2 linked regions of the Notamacropus eugenii genome follow. The protein of the gene in region 1 purifies or fractionates together with the protein of each later gene. This does not show direct contact. Links are inferred from orthologs where the notes say so. Each region holds a gene or a part of one and is shown on either strand. Other genes may lie near its edges.

Region 1 (7,104 bases):
TTTCATAATCATAAATCACCCATAAACTATTATTATAATGTAACCTTAGTAAAGGAGTATTAGGCATTCCATTCTCTCAGTAATCACATTCTGGAGTTGTCCAAGATAAGGGGCCTGGTAGCAGCAGTCATCTCAGGCAGAGCAGTAAGTTATGGGATGGGTTAAAAGGTTGGGTTAAAATCCCTGAGGTTACCCTTCCTCTCTGTCCTAATAATGAAAGGCCTGCTAATGCTGGCTGAAGGGCACTTTTAAAAATCACCTGGTGGATATATCCATAATTCCAGAAGATAATTTGTTACTAAATTTAAATGTACCTTTAATACAGCTAAATAAATTTAAGTGGAACTTAGGTCCTTTATGTCAGCTGATTTGTAAACTTTCCCCTTCGAGGTAGGTGTGAAACTAATTAGCCCTTCCACCTCTGAATCTCGAAGCTCTCAGGTTTAAACATTATAGAACTTAGACCATATCACCAGCAAGGCTGAAAAAAAAACTTATAACTGTGTCAAATAATAAGTTTTAAATATCTTATCAGATAAAACAAGGAAGAAATATTTTAAAACTATAATATAATCTTGCTTTTACTCTGCCATCTTGGCTCTGCCCCCTATTATAATTGTAATGAAATAAAACACACTGAACAAAAATAGCAGTTTTTGGACAACTCTTTAACAACTGGGTTTATAACCTAACAACCTAGCAGTATCCAGATTGCAAGAGAAGTAATTTTTCTAACTATGTTGATATTAGCAAATTTCACAGCATAAGCATGCACTTTATTTTATATTAACAGTATTAGGAAATATATAAGCAGCTCTACCAGTTTAGATTCACAATTGTTATTATTAGGTTAGTTCAAAGTATGCCAGGCCAATATTATAAGCCATTGCTGTTAACATTTTTCACTCTAAAATTCTGGGTTGAGGATTGATTTTTGGTTCAGGCAAAAAACCCTACAGAGTTTAAGCTGATGCTGGTGGTCATGGCCCACTGAAGTTGTAGACGGTTTTCACAGAACACAGAGTTATTATAATGATTCTACAATAATAATGAAAAAGTTTGGAATATTGCAAGAATTACCACAATGTGACAAAGAGACATGATGTGAGCTACGTGCTACTGGAAAAATGGCATTGACAGACTTGCTTGACACAGGATTGCCACAAATCTCCAATTTGAAAAACAAAACGCAGCATCTCCGAAGCACAATAAAACTTTGGGATACTTGTATAAGGTAGAAGATGAAGCTAGTGGATGACTGACACCAAATACGTACTTGGGTCCTCCTTACTGCTTCTGAGGATCAGGGCAATTAGTTGTACCCTCCCCTAGAATTACCTACTTCACTACTTTATACTTACACTCTACTTTGTATCAGCTCATACAAGTTTTCTCATTTTTCTGAATTCCTCATATTCCTATCTTCTTACAGTTCAATAGCTTTCCATTGCATTCATATGCCATAACCAGTTCAGTTTTTCTTTAGTCAATGGGCATCTTTTTTCTAGTTTCTCATTTTTTTTCTACCACAAAGAGTTGCCAAGAATATTTTGGTATATGTGGGACCTTGCTTTCTGTCTTTGAACTCCTTGGGACCCAACCATGTTGGAATTGCCTCGGGCAAAAGTAGGAATAATTTCATGACTTTGTTGTTATTGTTGTTGCTATATTAGTGTGATGGTGCTCCTGCATTGCTTCCAACATTAACTATTCCCATCTTATGTAACTGTAATTTTGAGGGGATATAGAGCAAGTTTCAGAGTTATTTAATTTGCATTTCTCATTATTAGTTACTTGGATCATTCTTTCACCTAATTCTTGATAGTTTGCATTTCTTCTTTTGTTTATATCCTTTGCCCACTCATCTCTTGGGTAATGGATCTTGGTAGCATATTTTGGGTCTGTTCCCTACATATCTTGGGTTTAACAATTTTATTGTAAATATTTGATGCAGTTTTTTCTTCCTCTTTTTTTAAAAATCTGGAAGTCTTTTAAAAAATCTTTTTATATTCTCCCAATTACATGTGAAAACAATTTTAAATATTCATTTTTAAAACTTGAGTTCCAAATCCTCTCCCTTCCTCCCCACCCACACCTCCCAATGAGAAGGCAAGCAGTTCAATATAGGTTATACGGGTGTAGTCATGCAAAAGATATCTATAATAGTCATGCTGTAAAAGAAAATATAGACAAAAACACTCAAGAAAAATAAAGTAAAAAGGTATGCTTCAACCTGTGTTCAGAAACCATCAGTTCTTTTTTCAGGGATGGATAACATTTTTCATCGTTAAGTCCTTCAGAGTTGTATCATTGTATCAGAGTTGATCATTGTATTGCGGAGAATAGTTAAGTCATTCACAGCTGATCATCTTACAATATTGCTGTTACTTTGTACACAGTACATTCCACTTTGCATCAGCTCATGCAAATCTTTCCAGGTTATTTTGAGAGCATTCTGCTCATCATTTCTTATAATACAACTATTCTGTCATAATCACATAACACAGCTTGTTCAGCCATTCCCCAATTGATGGGCATTGCCTCAATTTCTAATTCTTTGTCCCTTTTTTCTCCTTATCTTCGTGATAATTTCACATCTTATTCCAGCTGTATTAATTTTGTTTCTGCAAAAGCTTTTAAATTTTAGGTAATTTAAGTGATCTGTTTTATGATCATTTCTATCCCTTGTTTGGTTAAGACTTTTTCACTAAGCCGTAGTTGTGAAAGGCATTTCTTCCCATTCTCTTCTAATGGGAATGGCACTCCGGATGTATCATATCTGGGTCAGCTACTATTCCTAGCCTTTTCTTTTGAAGTGCCATTCAACTTCTTCATGTGGCGTATTGGGACTGAAGACTTAGGGTTGGAATTCAGCGGTGCCTTTGTCACTGATGATGAAAATAGATTTGTAGAGAAATGCTGACAAATCTGTCCTCTTTTTTGGCTGTTTTCTGCCAACCAGTTGTATTTATGGATGCTGGTGGTATGACGTAACTCAGTTCCATCTCAAGCTAAGCGTTCTGTAGTTGTGTCAGTTCTCCTCCAAGTCACCCTGAAGGTCACCTATGCTATGCCAAGGTGAAGAGAATTATATACTTGGTTCCAACCTCAATCCAGCGTGGATTCTTATCTTTTACAGAAAGCCTTTCCTAATTCCTCTAATTTTAATGTCTTCCCATTTTTAATTATTTCCTCTTTTCCCTATATATACCTTGTTTGTACGTATTTGTTTCCTTGTTGTCTCTAGTAGATGGTGAGCTCCAGGTGCGGAAACTGCCTTTTGCCTCTTTTTTGTAGTTTATAAATACTAAATAGTCTATCCTAGTATTTATAAAAATAAATCACATATAACGATAAATAATGACAGTACACAATCATAAGAACAAATATCTGTATTCTAGAAACAACAAATGTGTATTGGTTGACTGAGATTCCACTCACTGACCAGGCAAAACATAAAAAATAAAATAATAAAGCAGTTAATTGAAGCATATGAACAAAATAGAACAGGGGGAAAAACACCTTGCAGAAAAATTCTTAACCTCTCCTAAAGCAACAGAAAATAGCCGTCTCCCACCTCCCACTCCCCACACTCCCATGCCAACTGGGAAAGGCAATGAATCCTTCAGTACGGGGTGTTGGGGCTGGGGGGGGGAGAGGCACGTGGGGGAATCACGTCTAAAGTCCCTTCCAGCTCCCAGTGTACGGTCCTAAGTCACACCTGGCCGTCTACACCTGCTTTATGATAATTACTTATTAGTATTGTTCCCCCAGGAGACTATATAAGGTCCTAGGGGGCAGGAATGGTGTCCTTTCTTTTCTTTCCGTCTTTGAATTTCTAGCCTAGTTCAGTCATTCATATTACAGACGCCTAATAAATACTTATGGAATGGAATGGAATCGAATTCCCTAGTTCCCGTCCAAAGCTTTTAACTTAGGAATTTAGAGTTACCCGTCCACGCGCAAGGCAAAACCACCAGCCATAGAACTGTTCCCGTGTGTGACACACCTCCGACCCTCAGGTGGCGCTATGAGCTCCCACTCCTCTCTATCCCCGCCTCCCACCATCGACGCAGCCGCAGATCGACCCGGGAACGAAGACGCAGCTGTCAGCTTTTTATGCGCATGCGTGCCACTACAAGCGAGGCCGGGCGCTTTGACCGGGAATCTAGCTATCTAGTTTGGGTTACTCCCCGCGACCCGGTAATCTCGCGTGACTAACCTTCTCTCTGCGCCTGCGCACAGCATTCGGAAGCCGAAGGTCGTGCTGGGAAGAAGGGTCGGCTTTGGGTTCGGAGGCCGCTACGCCATTTCAGTGTTCGCCCGATCGTCTCGGCTATTTGCCGAATCACTCACCCTTCCGCCAAGATGCCTCGGATTATGATCAAGGGGGGCGTATGGAGGAATACGGAGGTGAGCGTCGTCTTCCTGTCACTCTCCCTGGCCCCCTGCGGTGGTGTGTGCGCATGCGCCATCTGATGGTAGAGCAGTTATGGGGGCGGGGAGTAGGGGGTTAGAATCCTGGAGTACGTAAAGTTGGAGCGGACCTGGCCCCCGGGTGCTTTTCCTCGCCCTCCACCTGCGCTTTAATTTGGCGCCACCCCCTGCCTTTCCAGGCTTCTCTCATGCATTCCACGCACTCTGTGATGCGGGCAAGGCTGGGCCGGTGGGCAGCGCTCCATTCTCCCGCCCCCGGTGCTTTGGCTCCTACTGCCCCTCGGGGCTGGAATGCCGTTCCTATCTGCCCCAGAATGCTGCACTTCCCTTTATCCTCTAAAGCCCAGTTGGCACACCTCCTCCAGGGAGCCGTTTACGGAATCAAGAGTGGTCCTTTCGGATGGGTCTCGTTTCTAGGGAGTTTTTCCTTGGGCCAAATCAAAATTGGTTTTCTGCCGACTCAGAAATAATAATAATGATACAATAATAGCTAGCCTTTATACACCGTTATAGGGTCTGCAAAGTGCTTTACAAATCTCCTGGGATCCTCACCACCCCTCTGGGAGGAAGGTACTGTTATTATTCGCATCAAACAGATGAAGAAACTAAGGCAGACAGGGTCCCGTGAATATTAAACGTGTGAGGCAGGTTTTGAATTTAGGTCTTCCTGACTCTAAGTGCAGCATTCTACGTATTGTGCCATCTAGCTGCTTCTTGTACTTCCACTGATTGTACTGGATTCTGTTCTCTGAACACATCTAATCCTCCTTCCAAATGATACCCTTTTTTCATGCTTCAGTAATTTCTATTTTTTGTTACTCTGAACTTTACAAACACCCATAAATGTGACCTTCCATATTCAACAAATAGAAAAAAGATTACGTATAAAAATAAAAATATTGCTTGTTTTTAAAAGAATAGAATAAATTCAGTTTGTTAGTTTCAGAGCTGTCTTGTTCCTTTATATCTAACCTCTGAACCTTCTGGAGAAGGTTCTTTGTCCTTTTTTCTGTACTTTTTTAGTTCTTCAGTGATCTTCCTTCTTTCTTTCCTTTCTTTTCCCAAAACCTTAAACCCAGTGCACTCTGAAGTTGGACAACTATAGGTCCTTGCCCAAGCTCCGCTTAATGGCTGGCTTAGAGTGATTATCAATAGTAACAGTTTCTTTTTCCCTCCCAGTTTGATTTACTTATTTTTTTCATTGGTTCATTAAAAGGGCCATTCCCTGATTACTTCTGGAAGAGGCCTATTCAACTCAATGGGTGTTACCTCCTTCTAAGTGAGTACCTGAAAAGGCCTAGCCTAAAAAGGCCAAGGTCTCCCATTGCATCCTGGGCCATCTGCAGTCATCCTGATGAATATCTGGTACTGGATTCAGATGGCTCTGGAGGAAAAGTGAGGCTGGTGACCTGCACAGCCCTCCCTCACTCAAAACAAAGTCAAGTGCAAGTCATGTCATCATTTCTCTGATGCCATGGTCCTCTTCGACAATGAAGGACAAAAACACGAAGTCTTGAGAAGACTAGTTACTGGGGGAGGCTGCACCACTTTTCCAACCTTGGGGACAATCTTTCCTCCAATGTCCCTTCTGGTCACATGTGCACAGTTCCATAGGCATTGATTCCTGGGGCTCCCTCTGGGGGGGCGGGCGCCCTGGAGGGGCACTCCTTGGACCAGTGACCCTCCTTTATTTAAATGTTTTTTGACAATTTTGACAATTTTTTGACAATTAATGTACTGTCAACACTCTTTGAAGATAGACCTAGATTTACCCATGAATTTCCAGGCCCAAGCCTCCTATAGAGATATTAAGCCAGTGTAATAATAGCAGTAGGTAAACTTTACATAATGTTTTCAAGTTTGCCCAGTAGTTTACATATATATTTACTCCTCTGTGAGGTGGGTACTATATTAGTTATCCCTGTTTTACCATTGAAGAAAATGAAATGTAGAGAAGTCAAGTTTCTTGTCAATATTAAGGGAGTGAATATCAGTGGTAGAATTCAAAACAGCCTTTGGGACTACATGTCCAGCTTTCTGTCTGTCATGGTATAGTGGAAAGGGACTCAATGGAAGAGTCAGATGAGTTAGTACCAGATCTGTCAGGTGTCAGCCAGGCTGCTTTGGGAATCACCTTACTTCCGTTGGCCTCAGTTTCTTCATTGATGGAGTGAAACCATTGAATCACATAACTTTTTAAGGTCTCTTACAGCTGCACAATTTCCCATCCTCTTTTTGGAGGGGGACAGGAAGGGGTGTTCCCTAACCTTGCTTGGAAGACTACAGAAACCTTATCAGAACTAAGCTAGATTGATTCTTTCTGGTGAAAAATAATTTTTGTTTGTTAAATCTTTTTCTTGTTCATTTTCTTAGGATGAAATTCTCAAAGCAGCGGTAATGAAATATGGAAAGAACCAGTGGTCTCGGATTGCTTCACTGTTGCATAGGAAATCAGCAAAGCAGTGCAAGGCCAGATGGTATGTGCAAGTCAGCAAAGGGAACCTTGGAAAAACTTAATGTGTACTTAATGGTAATAGGGGAAGTGTGGTAGTTCTTTGAATTTAGTTAAGAACAGGAATTAAGAGTGTAGTGTAAAGATCTGAGAGTCAGGAAAACTAGGTCCTAGTCCTGGTTCTCTTGTGAACTTGTTTGACTTTGAGCAAGTCA
Region 2 (7,290 bases), on another chromosome or scaffold:
ACACACTGGAGATACACAAGGGCAGGGGACTCCTATCCTCCCTGTACCTCCCCTACCCAAGTACCACATGGTCCATGGCAGGGAAGGAAACTGGAAGCAGAAATGTGGCCAGAAGCATACACGGAGCAAGAGCTCTCACCAGGCAAGGAAAGAGCTCATAGTGCCAAGATACATTTGTGGCTGCTGGTAAGAGCCTGGCCAGTGGGGCAGATGGCAGATTCCCCCCATCATATGCACCCTTTCTCATTCCCTACTCCATCTTCAGGCTCTCAATCATCTTATAGCTGTTCAAAACATGCTTCTGTGTTTAAAGTGAGGAGGGGGCCATGGAGACAGTCACCCATAGATGCTTACTGAAGCATTCAAAGATCCCACCAAGATCCAAAAGTGTAGGGTCTACCTCTTCCCAAGGAGATGACTGCCCACTGTCAAATCAAACTAATTCTTCTCTTCAGGAATCCAGGATCCCAACTGGGCCCAGTCCCACCTCCCCCTGTGCCTGGAGAAACAAGGATCCAAAACTCAGTCTTATGCCCTTATGGATGGCTAGACATCATTATTTCTTACCCAGGTTCTTCTAATTCTCATCCCTTCTCTGGAGGGGATTCACTGGTATACATCCACCTCTAACCCAGTACACCAGAAAGATGGAGAGCTCAGTCATGGAGGCGGGAACCCTGGCTTCACAAGCTCAACTAGGGAGAGGAGATCACTGAACTGATCTGAGGTAAGACAACTACTGCAAACAACCCCAGGCCCCAAAGGGCTAGGATTCACATCCTCTGAAATCAGGGTGCCACAATGGTTAAGCACCATTTCTGGTTCTGACACTGATTCCAGATCACTAAGGATAATAGGCTGAAAGACAGGAGCCCTGGGTTCAAGCTTGGGCCCACTTAGTTGGGTGACCTTGGCAAAGTCCTTATCTACCTCTCTCTTCCAGGAGGATGAATCTGACGTGTGTAGAAGGTTCCTGTCAAACTTGAAAAGGACACCAGATATCATCTAGTCCATCTCCCTTATGAAAAGGAAGAGAAGTAAAGCTCAGAAAGAAATTCTCACTTGCCCAAGGTCACACAGTTAGTTAGCAGCAGAACCAGGGCTCCAACCTGGACCTTTCCTCCTTGTAAATAGATTTCCTTCTGAATGGGGCAAGTGAACTGAGGTTCCAGCTCCAACCTGGATTTGCTGTATAACCTTGGATTCTCTAGACAGCAGATTTTCCCCTCTCTAAAACATGATTGGAGGAGTATGCCTTGATTTGCTAGAAGCAGGTAATGTTGGGGGCAAAGAAACAGAACCACTAAGTTGTGGCAGCAAAGGAGATGTGAGGTCCAGCAGAAGAAACCTGTGAATTGGGGCAGAAAAAAAAGGGGAGGAAGCGGTCCTATCCTTTCCAGATTCCAGTCTCAGAGAACTGGGTCAGTAGGGTTCCAAAACTACAGAGAAGTTTGGGATACTTCCACACCCTGCTCAACAGGAGGATTTTCTTAAGGAGTCTGTTGGGGAGACTTGGATCAGAATATTTGGTTCCATTTCCCCATTCTGCCCCATGACTGCCCCTTGGACTACTTTGGACAAATCCCTTTGGTTCCTTAGGCCCTAGTTTTCTCATCTCTGCGACTGAAAGAACTTTGGACTTGTTCAAACTTGAGAAGGAGTTCATTTAGAAAGAGTACGTGCAGCGGAGAAGGGCAAAGGTGTTCCACTAGAAGTGAAGTTTTGGAAGGAGAGACCCTGACTTTAACCTGCTTCAGGGAGAGGGTAAACATGGGGACCATTTCAGGGACATCTGGAGGAAGAAGGAAAAGGCCCTCTAGAGACAGCCTGAGGTGAGGGATACTGGGTGAAGGCCTCAGATGAAGAGGGCAAGGATAAACCCCTTCTGATTGCCGGAAACAGAGAACGCCCTGAAGAAGAAGACCAACAGGAGAAAGGAGCCCCTGAGGGTCAAGAAAGGGCCGGTCGGAACCAAAACAAAGCTCGGCACAAGAAGGGGAAGGCGGGCACGGGCAGCCGCCGCTCCTCACTCACACAGGCTGCCAAGTCCACGTGTTTAGGGGCTGAGGGCCAGACCGTAAATGGTCCCAGGCCCCGACGGGGCCCTCGGGGAAGGGGTCGGGACAAAGTCGGATAATGAATTTGACCCTTCCCACGCGTTCCCCGGGGGCCCACAGGGCCTTCCAAGCTCGGGATGCCCCCCTCCAGTAGCAGGGAAGGACACTTGGCCCGGCCCCCGCCGAGGCCCCGGGGAGCCGCAAGGTCGGTGACCAGGGACCTTGGCCGGCCGGAAGCCCCAAGAGGTCTCGAAGCGCCCCCTGCCCCGAGAGTGGAAAAGGAGGTGCAGGGGTGGGAAAGGGAGACGGAACGCCAGCGAGGGCTCTGGGCCGGCGGGAGTCACGGGGGTCGATCCCGGACCAGTCCACGTCCAACTCCTCCACGTGGGGGGGAAAGCCCCCGCCGCGGCCATTTTGGGAACAAAGGGGGCGTGGAGGAGGAACGGGCCGCCACCGGAAGCGGAAGTGGGCAGCACGGAGCGAGGAGGGAGCGGGAGGGGGACCGGTCGGGGTTGGGGGGGGGCCACCCTAGCTGGTCCCGGCACTGACCAAAGTCTCCGGTCTCGGTCAAGGCCCCCCGAGCCGCGTGGGCCCGAGGCGGGCGCGCGCGAGGCGGTCACGTGCGATGCGCGGTCACATGGCGCGGCGGGAGGCGCGCGCGGGTCACGTGTAGCGCCGGACCGAGAGGGGGAGGGGGAGGCAGCCGCGCGGGCTGAGGGGAGAAGGGACCGGAGCGAGGGAAGGAAGGGAGCGCCGGAGGCCGGTAGGCCGGCCGAGGCTGGGACTCACCTTGCTTGTTCTCGTTGAGCTGCCGCTCGAACTCGTCAAAGTCGGACATGCTGAGGGGCGGCCGGCCGCAGCCCGCGCTCGCGCCTTCTCCCCCGTCCCGTCCCCCCCGCCTGGCCCGGCCTGGCCTGCCTCGCCTGCCCTCGGCGCCGCCTCGCCCACTTCCGGCGCCCGCCTCGCCCGCTTCCGGCCCCCGCGCAGGCTCCGCCCCCGGCCCCGCCTCCTACTCGCTCGAGGAGGGGCCTGAGTCCCTTCGGCTTTTTCCGGAACGCTTCGGCTGTTTCCGGCCCCCGCCCCGCTTCACCCGGCCCCAACAGACCGCGCGGTCTCTGCCTCAGCGGCTCCCGAGTTCTGGTCGGGAGGCACCCCCTCCTGTCCCGGCCCGCGAGGCCGCACAGACCCTGTCGGGGTGGCCTCGAGTTTGCCCTAGAGGTCGAACGCGGCCGGAGCCGTCGTGTTCCCCTGCTGGCCCCGGCGAACGCACGGCCCCTTCCGGCTTTCGGTTCTTTCCGGAGGCACTCGGGCCCGACTTCGGCTTTTTCCGGAGGCGCACCTCCGACTCCCGCCTCCCGGCTCCCTGCGTTTCGACTTCTTCCGGCTTGGGGCGCGGCTCGCGAGAGGAACCGAGGGCGCCGACTGGTAGGCCGCGGAACGCCGCGCCGCCGTGGAGCCTAGCTGGGGGCGGGGCTTTTGTGCGCCTGTGCGGGCCGCCCCGCGAGGCCGACCCGAACCTAAGCTACGGCTGCGCCGGAGCGAATGGACGGGGAGCCGGGCTACTGCGCAAGTGCAAAGCGGGGCCAACCAATGGGAAAAGAGGATCGAGGCTACCCCTTGCTCGTCTCCGCCCTCTCTGGCCAGCACGCACGCGCACTTGAGCCCTCCAAAGCCGACTGGCCCCGTACCCGTAAGACTGTTAGCGCGTTCTCCTTCCCTTGGCGGTCGCCTTAGAAACGGCAGCCTAAGCAGAGTCGCGCCTGCGCCATAGCCTCGGGACGGGCAAGCGCCCCGGAAGGGAGCTCCCGGCCGTCTCTCGGCTCGGTCCACTTCGCCACCCCCTCTCCCCCACAGCCAGAACCGAGGCCAAGGTTATTCCAAATCTGCTGGTTAACTTTTAATTTTAACTCTGAATACTTCATTTATCTGTTGGTCCAGGGCCGGCGGCTGGTACTCAAGGGAGGGGGCGCTCCCAGGCTCCGTTGCCCAGCGGCCGCCGGGGAGGGAAGGATCGGTCAGCCTCCGCAGAGTCCAGGCCCCATCGTCACAGACTGCGACCTCGTGGGGGCTCCTCGTCCCATCTGCTCCGCGTTCACGAGAAGGAAGAGACCCAGACTTACCCAGGGCCTCACAGCCACCTTGGATAGGATCGCACTGAACTCCCTTATTTTACAGAGAAGGAAACAGGCCTGGAGAAGGGGAGGGAAGGGAGTCACACCCAGAGTGGAGCGAGAAGCCAGGTTCTTTCAAGGGCTCCTCTGACCTCTCTCCAGAGGCAGTGATGCCCGGCCACTTGGACAGTCTGCAGAGACTCCCAAGTCTCTAGGTTTGGGGCAAGGAATAAAGGAAGCCAGGCCAGGGCAATGGGGGTGGGAAACAGATGCTGACACCACGGAAGGCAGAAGGGGGAGATGTTCGGTAAATATATACATACATACACTGCCTTCCTGTCTCCACACAAACTCCATGAGAGGGTAGCAGCAGATGAGACAGGGAGCCCACCCACCTCCACCTGGAACCACATGTAAACACATCACTCACGTGCATGCACCCACCGGCTGCAGGGGTGCTGCGGAAGGCTAGGAAAAGGGCAAGGGCAGGATCCCACCCAAGAGCTGAGCCTTTGTGGGGCTCCTGGAGGGTCGCCGTTAAGGGGGACTAGTTGTAAATGACACATCACTTGGCTCAGACATCAATAGGAGAACCATTGTGGGACATAAGGGGTCCCCTGGCGAGAAAAGGTAGCCAGGAGGCCCATTAGAGCACAGGATGCAAGCCAACCACTACCTCTGGAGGCCCCCTCAAGAGCCCAGGGAACAGGATTGTCGCTTGGAAAGAGCTGCTCCTGGAAGAAGCAGAGGAGAGTCGAGTAGTCGGACATAGGAGGGGCCACTTGAAGCAGCCAGCATCCGAAGAGAAGACAGCAGACAGCCAGTCTAGGGGGATCCATGCTGGGGTAGGCGATGGCTCCAGCTGGCTCGGCCATCCAGGCCCGAGAACACAAGACTGATGCAGGGTGGGAGGGAGAGAAGGCGGTGACAGCAGCTGGCTTGGGGAGAAGCTGGGGCAGGACAGGCGTGGGGATCACCGCTTGAAGCGGTACGTGATGGGCAGCAGCAGCTTGCTTTTCTTGAGAGCCTGTACTTTCTTCAGTGTCTCGTCGTCCAGTGCCAGGAAGCAGCGGCGGGAGTATTCCAGCAGCCGCTCTTTGGACGGATCAAACTCGCCCACCTCGGCCAGCTTCTCCGGCGCCACGATGAGCAGCTCAGCAATAGGCGTGGTCAAGGCCACCGTGTTCCGGTCCACCCGGTGGTGCTCAAAGGCCCTGGACATGCTCTTGAGCTTCTGAAAGGTGCCCAGGATCTTCTTGTAGCGGCACAGCACCCCATCAGCATCCTTCACTGTGGGCCAGGGAAAGGCTGAGCCAGTGAGAGCCCCAGAGACATGGGGACCGAGTCCAACCACCCACCCCTGCTTGGTGACACCCCAGGGGAATGGCTTGGCTTCAGATCCCAGGGCTACTGCCTGGCCTTCAGTGTTGTCCCCCTGGAAATGGGAAGGTGGGAGTGGCCTAAACAACCAGAACTGTGATGTCCCGTACAGAACACCTCCCTCCCCTGGTGCAAATTGCTTGCTTACTGCTCTCTTCCCTGGGCCTTTGAGAGGATGGCATGGCACTCTTCACCACCCTGTCCTGCCTCTCCTGCCTGGCATGAGAAGCTACAAAGTTCTGAGGCATTTTTGTCCCAATTTGACAGATGAGAGAGCTGATCCTCTCATTCCTAAGTATCTGAGGTGGGATTTGAACCCTAGTCTCTAGCCTCTGATATGAATCAGGGATGGCATCAGAACTGAACCCAAGCATCCTGACTCCCAAATATGGAGCCTCTAAGGCTTATGGCTAAGCAGAGCCTGGGAGCACGAGGAGGTTCAGGAGAATCCCACGGACTTGGCAGCCCCCTTGCCAATGCAAACCTGGCTGCCTGTGTGGGGAGCAGAGCAGACTGCCCTATTCTGGGATCCCTCACAATTCACAGGGGAGGGTCTCTGAGGGCACAGGTACCAGGTTGGCCACATGCCAGGGTCCTGCCCCCTAGGGGGTATCTTTTTTCAGCTTCACAACCCTGTTATTCCCATTTTACAGTTGAGGAAACTGAAGCAAACAGAGATAAAGTGACTTGACCAAGATCATACACTTCTGAGGCTGTATCTGAACTCAGGTCTTCCTAACTCTAGGTCCCACACTATTCCCTGTGCCAACTAGTTGCCTAGGAGTCAGAAAAGACAGGAGGCTGAGGGCTGGGCAGCCAGGTGCTAAGGATCTCACAGAGGACGGACACATGCACCCAATCTGCTAGTCCAGCATCCTTCCTCTGTCCGTATCCCTAGCAACCCCCCCACACCCGGGGGTACCTGACACTCACCCCTCTGCCTCTCCCGGGCCTTGGGCTTCCCGAATCTCCTTCGGCCAGCCGCCCCCTTCTGTTTCTGGCGCTTCCTTTCAGCAGAACCCCCCTCTTCGGAGCCAGCGCTGAGGGAGGAGGCTGCTGACTCGGGGTCTGAGGCCTCCCCAGAGCCCTCTGCCCTCCGGGGGCCAGGCTTGCCCCGACAGTGGTCCTCTGGAGATGGGAGAGAGGACAAGGAGGGCACGGGAGGGCACGGCAGGTGGGCCTGTGGGGCCCCCCCCCCGCCCAGCCCCCACCTGCGGGCCCCCCCACCTGGGCCCGGCCCTACCTGCGTCCATGCGGGCGCAGGAGATGAACTTGTCCAGCTGACAGCGCAGGAAGTCCCGCTCCTCCTCCAGATCCTCGATCCTCTTCTGCAGCCAAGAGTTCCTCTCCAGGGCCATGTGCAGCTGGGTCTTCACGCTGCTCATCAGCGCCAGGGTGGGCGACGCGGGCTCCGGGGGCTCTGAGGGGAGGGGCGAGCCGTGAGCGAGGCCGCGCCCCCCGCCCCCCCGGCCCCGCCCCCGGCCCGCAGGCTCACCCTCCAGGCCGCAGAAGATGGGGGGTGACTCCGCAGGGGGGGCCTCGTTGAACGGGACGGAGATCTCAAAGCCCTCCTCGTCCTTCTTCACTGGAAGGGAAGGGGGGGCGGGGAGAGAGCTCCCTTACTCCGAGGCCGCGGCCGCCCGGGCGCCCCCCTCCCCCGCGGGGCTCCCGAGGGCGGGGGGCTGGGCCGGGGGCCCGAGGGGAGGGGCGGGGCTGCTCACTTGTCCGCCTCCGGCCGTTCC

Evidence for each region. Proteins that work in one complex are often made in the same cells at the same time.
Region 2: the proteins of CDC5L (region 1) and U2AF2 purify together in Homo sapiens (affinity purification with mass spectrometry; 5 studies listed by BioGRID and IntAct, with this or other methods). This does not show direct contact. The link is inferred for Notamacropus eugenii from reciprocal best matches to the Homo sapiens genes CDC5L and U2AF2.

The regions. Positions count from the first base shown.
Region 1 is NC_092873.1:107,878,654-107,885,757, forward strand, and holds the start of CDC5L (cell division cycle 5-like protein), read left to right. Parts: upstream 1-4,080; 5' UTR 4,081-4,368; coding exon 4,369-4,413; intron 4,414-6,810; coding exon 6,811-6,914; intron 6,915-7,104.
Region 2 is NC_092876.1:18,155,282-18,162,571, reverse strand, and holds the start of U2AF2 (splicing factor U2AF 65 kDa subunit), read right to left. Parts: upstream 3,027-7,290; 5' UTR 2,896-3,026; coding exon 2,847-2,895; intron 1-2,846. Other genes in the region: CCDC106 (coiled-coil domain-containing protein 106), read right to left, coding at 5,142-5,458, 6,482-6,676, 6,792-6,968, 7,044-7,133, 7,270-7,290. UniProt on the Homo sapiens protein: Plays a role in pre-mRNA splicing and 3'-end processing. By recruiting PRPF19 and the PRP19C/Prp19 complex/NTC/Nineteen complex to the RNA polymerase II C-terminal domain (CTD), and thereby pre-mRNA, may couple transcription to splicing.